Linked DNA regions of Oryzias latipes. The protein of the gene in region 3 purifies or fractionates together with the protein of the main gene of each other region. This does not show direct contact. Links are inferred from orthologs where the notes say so. Each region holds a gene or a part of one and is shown on either strand. Other genes may lie near its edges. The genes, in order: eif4enif1, c1qbp and lsm14a.

Region 1 (4,082 bases), on a different chromosome or scaffold from region 3:
GTGAGAAACGGAACAGACCCCCCAGCAGTAATGATTTTCTGGCCAACTTTAAAACAGTCTTCAATGTACATGTGAGCGACCTTCTTTGATGGGCTCCGTCCGCTTCCTGGACCTCTTGGACTTGCGTTTATCCTCCTCCAGGATCTTGTCGTCAAATCCGGTGAGTTCGATGGTTTCCGACTGGCTGGTGGGGCCTCCTGAGAACCACTCTGGCTCCTCCTCAACATACGAGTCGTTTCTTCTCCTCTCACTAAACACACGTTTGTCACCAAAATCTCTCTGCCAGTTCAGAAAAGGGGTCGGTGGACATGGAAAAGGGAATAACGATGGACTACTGAATGCAAAGTATTGAGAACTTCTTTCAACAGGGTTATACTAAAATACAAGACTAGTCATCATAACAGGATAATTTAAAGAAAATTCTTTAAAGAGACCTAAATGTTTGTAAAAATGGAAGAAACCAACCCTGAATCTTTTATCTTTGAAGTCTCTCTCTCGTTCTCTGTCCTTCTCTACTCGGGCTTCTCTCTCAAAAACCCGCGCTGGGATGATGCGGCCGCTGCCAATCCTGCGGGGGCCTCCAAGACGCAGGCTCTCATTCTCCTTGTTTTCCAGAGGACTGGTTGGGCGACGGACGTGAGCAGCGGGTAGGGCGTTGCCTTGACATCCACTGCCAAAACTACGGCGCTGTGGACTAAGTATGACGTCCAAGTCGTCCTCCTTCAACCGCTCACGGGGATCTTCATGGAAATAGGTGAGAAAAGAAGTTTCATTCAGAAATTTCAGTAAATATTCCTGAAAGCTTGAAGTCACAACTACAGAAAAGTCTTGTGGTATTCCCACCACTGTCTCACTCTTGAAGTGCACATACCTGGGATTCTTCGCTTTAAAGGAACCCTTTCATCCATGTAGTCCTTCTTAAAACCTTCCACCGGAGAGCTCCGCTCTGAAGTTGGATAGAGTGAGGCATGCCACTTTTCTGGGTCCCAAACTCCATCACTAAAGAACAGTTTTTAGGGGAAGGTGAGCAAAGAAATGTAACATAAAGATCAAGTAGGGCTGGCTGGTTAAAACACACATAGAATACGTTTCAGTATTTTTGGAAGTATATACTAACCCTAAAATTAACCAACCAACCAACCTCAGAGTAATTGTAACTGACATATCCTGTTCGGAACAAAAGGTCAAACTGTTGCGATTTTAGTCACTAAGTGAACTAAATCTGCCACAATCAAATGTAAGCTGATAAAATATGATATATAATCAAGAGGCAAAAAAAATATCTATGACTAACCCTTGAAATAAAAAAGAAAAGCATTTCACAAGGAGACGGTTTTACCTGTCATATTTCTCTGAGAGACACTCAGGCCTTTGATTGGAAATGGGAAGCTCTTTTATCCTGAGAAGCTCTTCCTGTGCACAAATGCTTGTGTTAAAAGGAAAACGGTGTGGAATAAGCAGCAACGTTTAGCTGACGCGTCTCATCACCTTGGTGTATCTGTAGGCAGACGTAGCCAGTGCCTGTTGCTTGGACTCAGTGGACGCACTTTCATTCTGTTCTGAGGCATCTTTGTCCATGATGCAGGCAAAGCGGTTCCAGGTAAACTACTGATCCTGTTGAAAACGGCAGAATTTCACATTCGTTTGGTGTCATTAGAGGCAATAAATAAATAATTGGTCAACTTCTTGATATTAAATAAGTTTCAGAATCAGACAATGTCTTAGCAGGAAAAAAAAAAAAAACCAAACCTTTAAAGAAAGTTTCTTGTAAATACATCAAACAGTACACACAGATAATTTGTCAAACCCAAAATACTGTACTGGTACTTATTTTGGAGCTTTGCTGGCATAAAGCTTATAAAATATATATTTTTTTAACCTTGTAATCCTTGGCTTGGAGATGTTGATCTTTTAAGCAGAATCATTTGATGGGGCTCAAAACGCTTCAAATCAACGGGGATCAAACTTTTCAAGTTGTCCTCCATTTGTGGAACAACCTCTTCATCCGTCCATTGGTGGTTTTGGTCTAAACTTTTCAAAGTCATCAAAACCCATTTGTTCCGGAGGTTAGTATGTTGTTTATAGTTTATTTCCATTAGCTTTACATGCATCATGTCTACTATAGGATTATTTAAACTTGGTTGGTAATTGTAGTTTAGTTTTTTAAGCACTTTGTTTTCAAATCTGTAATTAAAATAGATATATACTGGGGGGGGAGTTAACTCACTTAACAGTGAAGACCCAAACCATCCGTCAGTGGAGACCAATTAGTGGCTTAATTGAAAGCATCCTGACAACACAAGTGGCAGTCAATTACAATGAATCGCAAAATGTTTGCGACAAATGTTGATGCCACCTGGTAACAAATTATTAACTACAAGTAGTATTTTTCCTCCACCCATTTACCTCAACATTAGAGAACAACAATAAACACAGGTTGGTTAATTATGGTTACCCGAGTTGAGACAGTCCGATGCAAACCCCTGAGAGTTGAGGGGATGGCAAAAATGTGATTCAACAGAAACTTGTCAAAAGCATCTTGAAAAACACAAACAAACAACTTACTCAGTTGAAATGATGCGTGAAATACTGCCGAACAGCTGCACTTCACGTTAGTTAGCAAGTTAGCCTAGCGCCTTTCGCTAGCTAACTAGCTGGGTAATGGGGATAATTCCCACCCCGCAAACAACAACTCATAAGGCGGTCGACTTTTCCAAAGAGCTATATTGTTACAGGCTATGGCAGGGTAACTCAAAATAGTATTTCTAGTCCAAATAATTAATCGGGTCGCACAGAAACTCTGTAATCACAAATTATTGTTTGCTCTTTCTCTTGTTTCTTAGTCGTAGCAGCGAATTTCCTACAATCACCGCTTTAAGAAGGTCCTCAGAGAGATTAAAAGGTGCCCGTCGCGCCTTTGTAGAATTTAAATTTTTGTTACTGAAGGTGTAGGAGCAATCTTGTTCTTATTGCTTAAATATTATATAGACGTAATAAATGTTTGTTAATTAATAAAATCGTGTATATTTATTGTGAAGTTTTTTGTTGATGAAAAAACACCAAACACTTCATTCATTTAATCTGGCATTATATAGAATACCTAATTTTTTCAGGGTATGCTTGATTTTTCCCCCTCAATCTTGATCTCGGAGTGATATTGTCAGAAACTGCCGTCTCCACCCCTGTGGGCGGTTTTGTATTTTGTTTAGTATTCCTCCAAAAGCTGAGGACCCAATGTGACTATCATCTAAAATATATATTTTATAATAATATACACACATATATTTCAGTTCGAAAAGTAGAACGAGTACAGCAGGACTGAGTTTAAAATAGAAAAGTGTAATCCATAGTTACAATTTCTAATGTCTTATATTTGAGCATTGCCGCCTGATGTTACCGTTTCTAGGGGTCACGTGACAAGGAAAGTTGTTCAAATTTTAAGTTTGCGACTATGCGATATGGTTTCCGTTCCTTGTTAGTTGAACTACGATGCAAATATGCAACATAGTTCAGTCAGAGACGCAAAGTCGGGGCTGCAAGTCGGTGCAGAAACAAACAGGAAGTGCTTCACAGAGCTGGACATCCCTGCTGGAAGACTCGATGAACAAACTAGATCGGGTTCTAGGACTGTTAGCTTACTTCTTAGGATTTTACTGCTGTGATTATTGAGTTTTATTGCTTTACCACTTCATGCATTTCACAAAGTTTCTAATCATTTGGAAACACAGATTCTCCTCCAGGTAACATTTGACAGTTAGCAAACTTTGTTTTGAGTTTTCAAGATCAGAGTTGGGGAAATCCTTGATGGTCTTGCCATTGCTTACCAGTCTATTTATTTCTTTGACTTTATTAGAGCCTGTATACTAACTGGCACGAGCCTTGAATTCATGCAAAGGTGAGTGCTGGACCTCTAGCGGGGAACTGCGAGCAGACTGTCATTAGGTCATCTGAGGACATCCTATGCTTGAAAGGTACAAACTCTACCTGAGTGCTGTTTGCGTTTGCCAGCCATTGCTTTGAAGGTATATTATTTGGACGTTCCGTAACCAGAGAAATTCAGCATCACTGAGGCAGGAGAAAGG
Region 2 (4,025 bases), on a different chromosome or scaffold from region 3:
CTTACAGTGGTATCAAGTCAATAACATGGAAATTATGGGAGTTTTTTTAGTAACATTTTGCATCATTTCTGGCCTTTTTTCAACAGCAGAATTTCCATCCACATAAGAATGCAAACTTATCTACAGCCACTACCTTTAAAAAGGTTTAGTAAAGATAGATACATAAAAGCTCTTGGTCTATATTTACATGTATGTATATATGTAAAATTCAAATAATTAAATTATATGTGAAATAGTCAAGATAATTACAACATTTATCAGGAATTCATGGTAACATTATCTGTGCTAAATTCACAGAAGCTACTGTGTTCATAAAGAAAAGTTAAAAAAAGAAACTTAAAAAAAAACACCACTAAACTCACCCTTTAGGTCTGAATAATTTCCTTCAAAAATGTGGGGACATAAATCTCTCAAGTTGCTTTTGTGCTTTTGTACTGTCTTTAGGGAAGTCTGACAACAAAGAGACTTTTTTTTTCAAACTGATTCCTTAAAAAAAAAAAAAAAAAGTGCGGTCACAGTCGCAACCGATAGTTTGTAAATTAGCAGATTCAGTCCAAACCGTTACAGAATTTCCTAACTTAGAAAACAGTAGTTTCCATGGTGAACACATTTTTTTATAGAATAGAAAATAATCTTTTTACATATATTTATATATATATATTTAGCAAATTTTCGTGGCTTTGATAAAGGGGTTTAAAAAGCATATAAATTTATCTTAAAAAATGAATTGGCTGTATAGTGGGCGTTGAATGGTTTAAAAACATGTCAGACAGCACCATCTGATGGCAGCAAGACTACAATTTCAATATATATTGTCGCAAAGGATGATGCAATGTTTCTACATGACGGGCCTCTACCGGTTGAGATTGTATTGATATTTCTTATTTAATCAAATTTTATTTCACTTGTATGTGCTGTCGAGTTTATTATAAATAAATAAAGAACTCCCGCCACTAAAGAAGGCAGACAATCTCTAATAAAACATTCACATCGAAGACACAGGGGGGCGCCACTGAAAATGCACTACGTTTTTTAAAAGTGCATCATATTTTTTCAGCTATTTTTTAAAAATGTTTTTCCATTTAATTTTACCATCCTATTTTACCATCATATATAATCAGTTAGTGTTTAGTGTTTAGTAAAGTAAAGTCAACTATTTGATATAAAACTAATGTTTACTGAACTAAGTACTACTTCCGGTTCAGGGGTCATAGTTACGCTAGGTCAATGTGCCCTTCCACACGTGTTGCCGGTGTCTTCTAGAAGCGTTCCTGGTAGTACGTCGGTGCCTGCGTGTTCTTATTTTTCTCTCTTCTTTAAACAGTTTATAGTATCATGCTAAAGTCTCTGGTCCGCGCGGTGGGAGCTGCTGTTCGGCTGTCCTCGGCACCATCCGCTGCTGCACGGGCTCTGCCGCTCAGCTGTCCGACCAACCGCTCTCCTGGTTCGGTTGCATCTCGGCCCTTCACCCGCTCCCTGTGGATGTTGAACAGTAACGGAGCCCCGTCGGGATACAGACCTAAACTGTTCAGCTCAAAAGTACTAAGTCCGTCTGTGTCGTGTGGATGTGGAGGGCTGCACACGGAAGGTAGCTGAACGTCCGCATGTTTTTGTTTCATTTATCTAAAAAAAAAAGAGAACCTGTAAACACAAGTTTGGGTTATTTAAAGCAGCAAAACAGCTTAAGTTGCTTACAAAATTGAAAGACACGTGGCGGTTAATTGGGGTTTTAGACGACACGGCGAGCGTGCTGCATCCTGGTTTAGGAGCTAAAGAGCTGACATCACTTTGGCAGGCAAAGCTTTAGATGATAAACAATCAACTGATGTTTTAACTTGTCGCTTAGCAACAGTACTGCTAATTTCCAGACTTCACAAACTATTTGAATTTTACAGTGACCCGATTTTCCTCATTAAAAGTGCTTGTTTTTATTTCTTTTTTTTTTTTCTTTACTCCTTCCACTCGGCAGAAATTGCTCCTGGAAAACGACACAGGTTTTATAAAGATTTGGCTAAAAACGTCAAAATTATTATTTTTAAAAAAACCCCACTGTGAACGCTTTTACAATCGAGCGGGAGGTGATTGGAGTGGAGCTTTTAACATTTTAAACTAATCACAAGTGAAGAGTCCCTTTATATTTACATCTGTATTTACTCAGTCAGCATTTGTTTTTTTGAATATTCCGCTGGTGTGTTATCCATCAACACTTAAAGATTCTACACGATGTAGGTATTTTGTATGTAATTGTGTAACAATTGTTTCAGATAATGCATTTTATCAAGTTTTTTCACCTCTAACTTGTCACATGTTTAAACATAAAACATTAAGGTTCACTGATAAGTTTTTCCAAATCCCCTCTGCCGAAGCCAATAGTTTACTCATATAAAGTTATGTTGTCATCCCATCCTGTGTGAAATGTGGATTCATGTTTTTTATCAAGTTGTCCATTCTACATCACACAGTTTCACCTAAATCTGTTGTCTTTTTCTCAGGAGACAAAGCGTTTGGTAACTTCCTGTCCGATGAAATCAAAGAGGAAAAGAAGATCCAGAAAAACAAAACCCTTCCTAAGATGTCTGGAGGATGGGAGCTTGAGATGAACGGCACAGAGGCCAAACTCACAAGACACCTTTCTGGTGAAAAGTAAGGCGATGGCTCACTCTCTGAGGACAAAGTGACCGTGTAGGAGTTCCTGCAAAGCAGCTTTTATTTTCTGTCTTCAGAGTGACGGTCACATTCAACGTTAACAACAGCATCCCTCCAAGCTTTGAGGAGGAGGAGGAAGCGCAGCAGCAGCAGAAACCAGCAGAGGAAGAGGTGAAGCTTTCGAATTACCTTCTAGATTTGTGATCTTATCATTTATTTATGCTCACTAGTTGTTGTTTTCCTTTGTAGCCAGAGATTGTATCTACGCCAAACTTTGTTGTTGAAGTAACAAAACAGAATGGGAAGCACACGCTCGTGTTTGACTGTCATTTCCCTGAGGATGAGGTATGAATTAAAACGAAGAAAGAAAGAAAAACTTCTGGATGAAGTGGTTAGGTAAAAAGGTGCCGACTTTATCCAATGTAGATGAGTCATGGTGAGGGGGAGGAGGAGAGCGACATCTTTGCCATCCGGGAGGTCAGCTTTCAGCCAGAGGGAGACTCTGAGTGGAAGGAGACCAGCTACACCCTCAACACAGACTCCCTGGACTGGGTAAGAGCTGCTGTGAACCATGAGCACACGGGGGGTCATGAAGGTGGGATGTTCTCAACTCTGCTGGGTTCTTTTTAGGCGCTGTACGATCATTTGATGGACTTCCTGGCCGACCGCGGCATTGATAACACCTTCACAGACGAGCTCATGGAGCTCAGCACTGCCATAGAGCACCAAGAGTACATCAAGTTCCTGGAAGATCTCCAAAGCTTTGTCAAATGTAACTAATATTTAACTTAACTGTCTGTTCTCCAGATGAAATTTCAAAGGACTAAAGCACTCAAGACTCATGTTTGGCACCCGGCAACAAGAATGTTGCTTGTTTTTCTGTAACTTCAATAGAAATATTTGTCAGCCATAGTGATCATTTAGTTTCTCAGCCTCTATTTTACATCTCATGTCCCCTTTAAATGTGTAAACGTTCAATCAAGACCTGTTCTAAAGCTAATAAAGAGAATTGTCAGTTTTCATTCGAGAATTTGTCACATTCTGAGGTTTTACTTTAGGAAGTTTTTATGTTTATTGAGGAACATTGACATTTTGTTGGTGGCTTAAAAACAAAATAAATACACACAAATTCCACACAGAACCAATTCAAGGTTTTAGATCATAATCATCACCTTACATTTTTCTCAATACAGTAAAACTTGAACAAGTTCAGATGCTTCAAAACTGAAATTATTTGAAAGATTCTTTATAATTTAGAAATGAATAGAACTGTTTAAAGGAAACAAATGGAAAAACAATATTAAACTGTTTATGTGCAATAGAGGTTGATCAAACCTTAAGCTCCTCCTAAGAAGCAACCCCGCCCCCCTTCCTCCCAG
Region 3 (4,001 bases):
AGTGCTTCGGTTGGATGCGGTGCTGATGCTGTCTTGAGGAGTTGACACACTGGACGCGGTCAGTGTTGTGATGGATGCTCCATGTGATTGCGAACCGTTGCTGCTGGCGCTCACACAGGCGGGCGAGGTGGCGGAGGGCTCGCCGAAGGACGGAGCACAGCCCAGCGAAGGAGATGTGTCAGTTTTATCCTGGCTAACGTCTTTAGAGTTGATCTCCTGGCGCATTTCGGGTTTTAAACGGCGTCCTTGTTGTTGTTGTTCTAGTGTTGTGATGCTCACTGGAGGTTGTAGCGTTTTTCCTAAGTGGTGATTAGCAGGGGGCACAGAGCCAGCGCCTCCGTTTTCGTCTGTTTTGCCCACCGGGGTGCTTTGTCCAGTAAGCTCTGACTCCAATGAACCCACCAGGTCGCTAACGGCTTTTTCATCCACCTCTGAATAAAGCATATCTTCCAAGGGGTCGGAGGCGCCCGCCATCTCTGATCATTGATAGTCGTCTTCTGTTTTTTTACAGTGCGCTTGCGTGTTACTAGGCATTGTGGGAATGGACCTGACGTCATTAATTGAGCTCCCTGTTTTGGTTCTGTGAATTAAAGACGTTTTTATTCATTTATTCTTCTCTTTTTTTATTCGTTACTTATTTTTTTCATTTTTAATTACGTATTCATTTATGTACTTATGTATTTATCCACGCCTTATATCTACTATCATACATACTTGCATATTTTTTGTTTATTTCCCTTTTTTACCCTTATCATTGTCAATGTATTTAAAACTTTTTTTACGATGTTTTAAAAATAGGTTTCAAAAACACATATTGACCCGTGTTTTATGCTGCTGTAGTTGCAAAATGGTGTACAGAACTTTAAAACACCAGACAAAAACCTTGTTCTCTAAAGATTTGATATTAAATAACAACATAAAAAATGACTAATGGAGTTTATTACAACATAATAAATAAATAATACATCCACAAGATGCTGCTAAATTCTTCACGGAAGTGGTTTTTGCTATTTAAAATAGTTCCAGAAATTCATTTTACAAAAAATATATATTATTAATTACTAATATTTAACTTCACAATCAAAACAATTCATTTTTTAAAAGAGCATTTTAGCGAAAATTATTGGTTGTTCTTGTTCAAGATGCGTGTCGGAGCAGAAATGTAGTTTTGTGAACTACGGCCTTTCTCCCAGCATGCTTAGCGCCAGGGGAAGGAAAATGAAAACGGCCATGTCGTGAGAGGGATCACGGAGCGGGTTAATGTGCTTCAGGGTTACCTTTTGTATTTGTGGTATGTAGGTTTGAAGTTGCGCATCGGAAAGTTGAATATATTTGTTCTAGGTTGACTTAAAGGGCATTCTTCAAAGGTTAGTGGCGTATTTAAATCAGCAAGGCAAACATGAGCGGAGGAGGGACGCCGTACATAGGCAGCAAAATTAGCCTAATCTCAAAGGCCGAGATCCGATATGAAGGAATTTTGTACACCATCGACACTGAAAACTCGACAGTAGCTCTCGCTAAAGGTAAGCATAATCACACACGAATAGATTTTAGCTTTCCAAAATGACCAAAAACGTGGTATATGGTATAGGAAACCATTATGTAAACAATTTTCCCGCAGTTTGCTAGCTTAAAGCTAGCATCTGCTAGCTTAGCTGTGTTGTGGTGCACACTCAGCGTCCTTTGTTTACGTAGTTTTTCTTTTTTTTGAGCACAAATGACTTGTATGAAAAGTTAACGTGGTTTTGTTTTAACCATTAGTTTAATTAAATTCAAATAGTTTTATTTTTTGGTTGTATAAAACTAACAATTTTAATAAAATTAAAGTTATCAGTGACATTAAACTCGCACTTTCTAACTGTTGTATTTAAACTCCAAAAGTCTACTAGTAGCATGTTGAGTATCAAATTAGACTCCAATAAAAAATTGTTTTACATGTTTACAAAAAAAAGTACATAATTACATGCCCTATGCATTTCGTATTATTGGAGTAAAAATTTGTATCTTTTGATGCTTGTTTTATATTCAAATTGTCTCTAATTTTCTTTACAGTTCGGTCTTTTGGCACTGAAGATCGCCCCACCGACAGGCCTATTCCACCCCGGGAGGAAGTGTTTGAGTACATCATCTTCCGAGGCAGCGATATAAAAGACCTAACGGTTTGTGAACCACCCAAAGCCACTAGTTCTCTGCCTCAGGATCCCGCCATAGTCCAGGTGAGCCTTTTGTGTTTGACACTTCTCCTTTGCAACTCTTTTCGCACAGCCCAATGTAGTAAGGGGCCTTAGAGATAATTAGTAACAGCTGGGTTTCATCTACAGCAGTACAGGTTCAAATGACAAGCACACACAGCTCTTTTCTGATCGTGCAATCTACTTTTAAAAGATCTTTATTGTTCCTCTTCCTGCTTTTCATTCCACATAATTTTTCTGGTACTATCCAATATTAGCAATATTAGAATTTTGAAATCTCTGAACCTTTTTCCAGGTTACAGCTTTGAAAACTTAAGACACTGTCCAAAATAGCAAATGAAAAGATGTTTTTTTTAAATGATTAGTTTTGGAATTACCCAGACTCATGTGTAATCTGTTACAATAGTAACACCCTCAGAATCACACTAGCAACTCATGTAGATTATATTTTTTTTGGATGTATATTGAGCTGATTAACAGCACAAGTTGTGTGTAATTTTTTTTTTTTTATGCCCAATAGATATTTGTTTTTAAGATAAAAGGGGCCTCATTGGTTTAGCACATTTTAAGCCACTGTTTGAATTTGCCTAAAATATACCGGTAGTTGGATTCAAATTTTCTACTAAAGAACCTACATCAGAGCTACCAGCCTGTGTGTTTTACAGATGTATCTGTACCGCTTTCTGCTGACTCCTCATTCTGATTGAGTAAACACACCTGATCCAGGTAATCAGCATCAAGACGTGCAGGGAGATGTGGAAAACAGGCAGGGTAGTAGATGTTGAGGAACTACGTGGTTTAACATTGAGGCAAAAAATAAAACCATTTCCATCTGAATATCTATAACTGTATCAAGGTAGATTTTTGTCTTACTGTGGACCAAAGCTTATTGTTGTAATGAACTCCATCAGTTCCCCTTTTCCTGAACAACCGAGTCATTCGTATTTTTGTTGTGATCATGAACAAAAACAACCAAAAATGCCATGGCAGTCTTTAAAAACTGAATCTCTCTTCTTTTTTTTAGTCATCAATTGGATCTTCAAATGCCTCAGCAGCATCCTCATTTCAGTCTCATGGGTCCTATGCACCATTCAGCAGGGCCCCTGTTCCATCATACAGCCAGTTTGGCGTTACTCCCCTTGGACCCCAACAGTTTGGGTCCCTTGGAGCTGGAGGTAAGAAAAAAAGCATGAATACAAAATTTCATGTTTTCTTTTTTTTTATTAAATACGTAAGTATAAAATGAAGGGATCTATAATCTGTGTTAAAGACCTGTTATTATATTGGTTTCTTTACATTTCAACTTACATTTATTTTTCTATTCATGGTATTCAGAAACAACCTGTATATTTTATTTTTTTTTTATTTATTGTGAATTTTAAATAAATCATTTTAAATGTTTTATTGCAGGACGTGCAAGCCCTCCACTGGACTCTTTGATAAAAAGTTCCTCGGGGGAACAGGCGGTGCAAGCTCCACCTGCAGCTGCCCCCGCTCCGCCAGCTCCTGTGGGACAGAGGAGTCAGTCAGGAGTGACTGCTCAAAAACCCACCAGCACCTCCACGGGCAGCCAGAAACCCCCTGACCTTCTGGAGCAGAAGAAAGGTAACAGTAGCCTCCGTGGTTCTTTTAAATATCTCAAATCTATTTAAGAGGTTTAAAAATGGATCTTTTTGATGCAATAAAACCACTTTTGGCAGCATTGTGTTCTGTTGGGTTTCAACTGCCCCAAAAGCGCTGAAGCATCTGCCATTTTGGAATGTGAAATGCTGGGCTTCTCAATAGATTTGTATTTAGATTTAAAAAAAA

The links.
Region 1: the proteins of lsm14a (region 3) and eif4enif1 purify together in Homo sapiens (affinity purification with mass spectrometry; 3 studies listed by BioGRID and IntAct, with this or other methods). This does not show direct contact. The link is inferred for Oryzias latipes from reciprocal best matches to the Homo sapiens genes LSM14A and EIF4ENIF1.
Region 2: the proteins of lsm14a (region 3) and c1qbp purify together in Homo sapiens (affinity purification with mass spectrometry; 3 studies listed by BioGRID and IntAct, with this or other methods). This does not show direct contact. The link is inferred for Oryzias latipes from reciprocal best matches to the Homo sapiens genes LSM14A and C1QBP.

The regions. Positions count from the first base shown.
Region 1 is NC_019863.2:612,808-616,889, forward strand, and holds the start of eif4enif1 (eukaryotic translation initiation factor 4E transporter), read right to left. Parts: upstream 2,811-4,082; 5' UTR 2,566-2,810; intron 2,008-2,565; exon of another isoform or gene 1,880-2,007; intron 1,615-1,879; 5' UTR 1,579-1,614; coding exon 1,489-1,578; intron 1,414-1,488; coding exon 1,340-1,413; intron 1,000-1,339; coding exon 872-999; intron 741-871; coding exon 466-740; intron 280-465; coding exon 81-279; intron 1-80. UniProt on the Homo sapiens protein: EIF4E-binding protein that regulates translation and stability of mRNAs in processing bodies (P-bodies). Plays a key role in P-bodies to coordinate the storage of translationally inactive mRNAs in the cytoplasm and prevent their degradation.
Region 2 is NC_019872.2:21,256,207-21,260,231, forward strand, and holds c1qbp (complement component 1 Q subcomponent-binding protein, mitochondrial), read left to right. Parts: upstream 1-1,204; 5' UTR 1,205-1,335; coding exon 1,336-1,588; intron 1,589-2,492; coding exon 2,493-2,643; intron 2,644-2,723; coding exon 2,724-2,817; intron 2,818-2,895; coding exon 2,896-2,991; intron 2,992-3,072; coding exon 3,073-3,198; intron 3,199-3,276; coding exon 3,277-3,426; 3' UTR 3,427-3,673; downstream 3,674-4,025.
Region 3 is NC_019861.2:30,568,046-30,572,046, reverse strand, and holds the start of lsm14a (protein LSM14 homolog A), read left to right. Parts: upstream 1-1,190; 5' UTR 1,191-1,399; coding exon 1,400-1,523; intron 1,524-2,052; coding exon 2,053-2,216; intron 2,217-3,216; coding exon 3,217-3,367; intron 3,368-3,602; coding exon 3,603-3,797; intron 3,798-4,001. Other genes in the region: transcription initiation factor TFIID subunit 4, read right to left, coding at 1-474. UniProt on the Homo sapiens protein: Essential for formation of P-bodies, cytoplasmic structures that provide storage sites for translationally inactive mRNAs and protect them from degradation. Acts as a repressor of mRNA translation. May play a role in mitotic spindle assembly.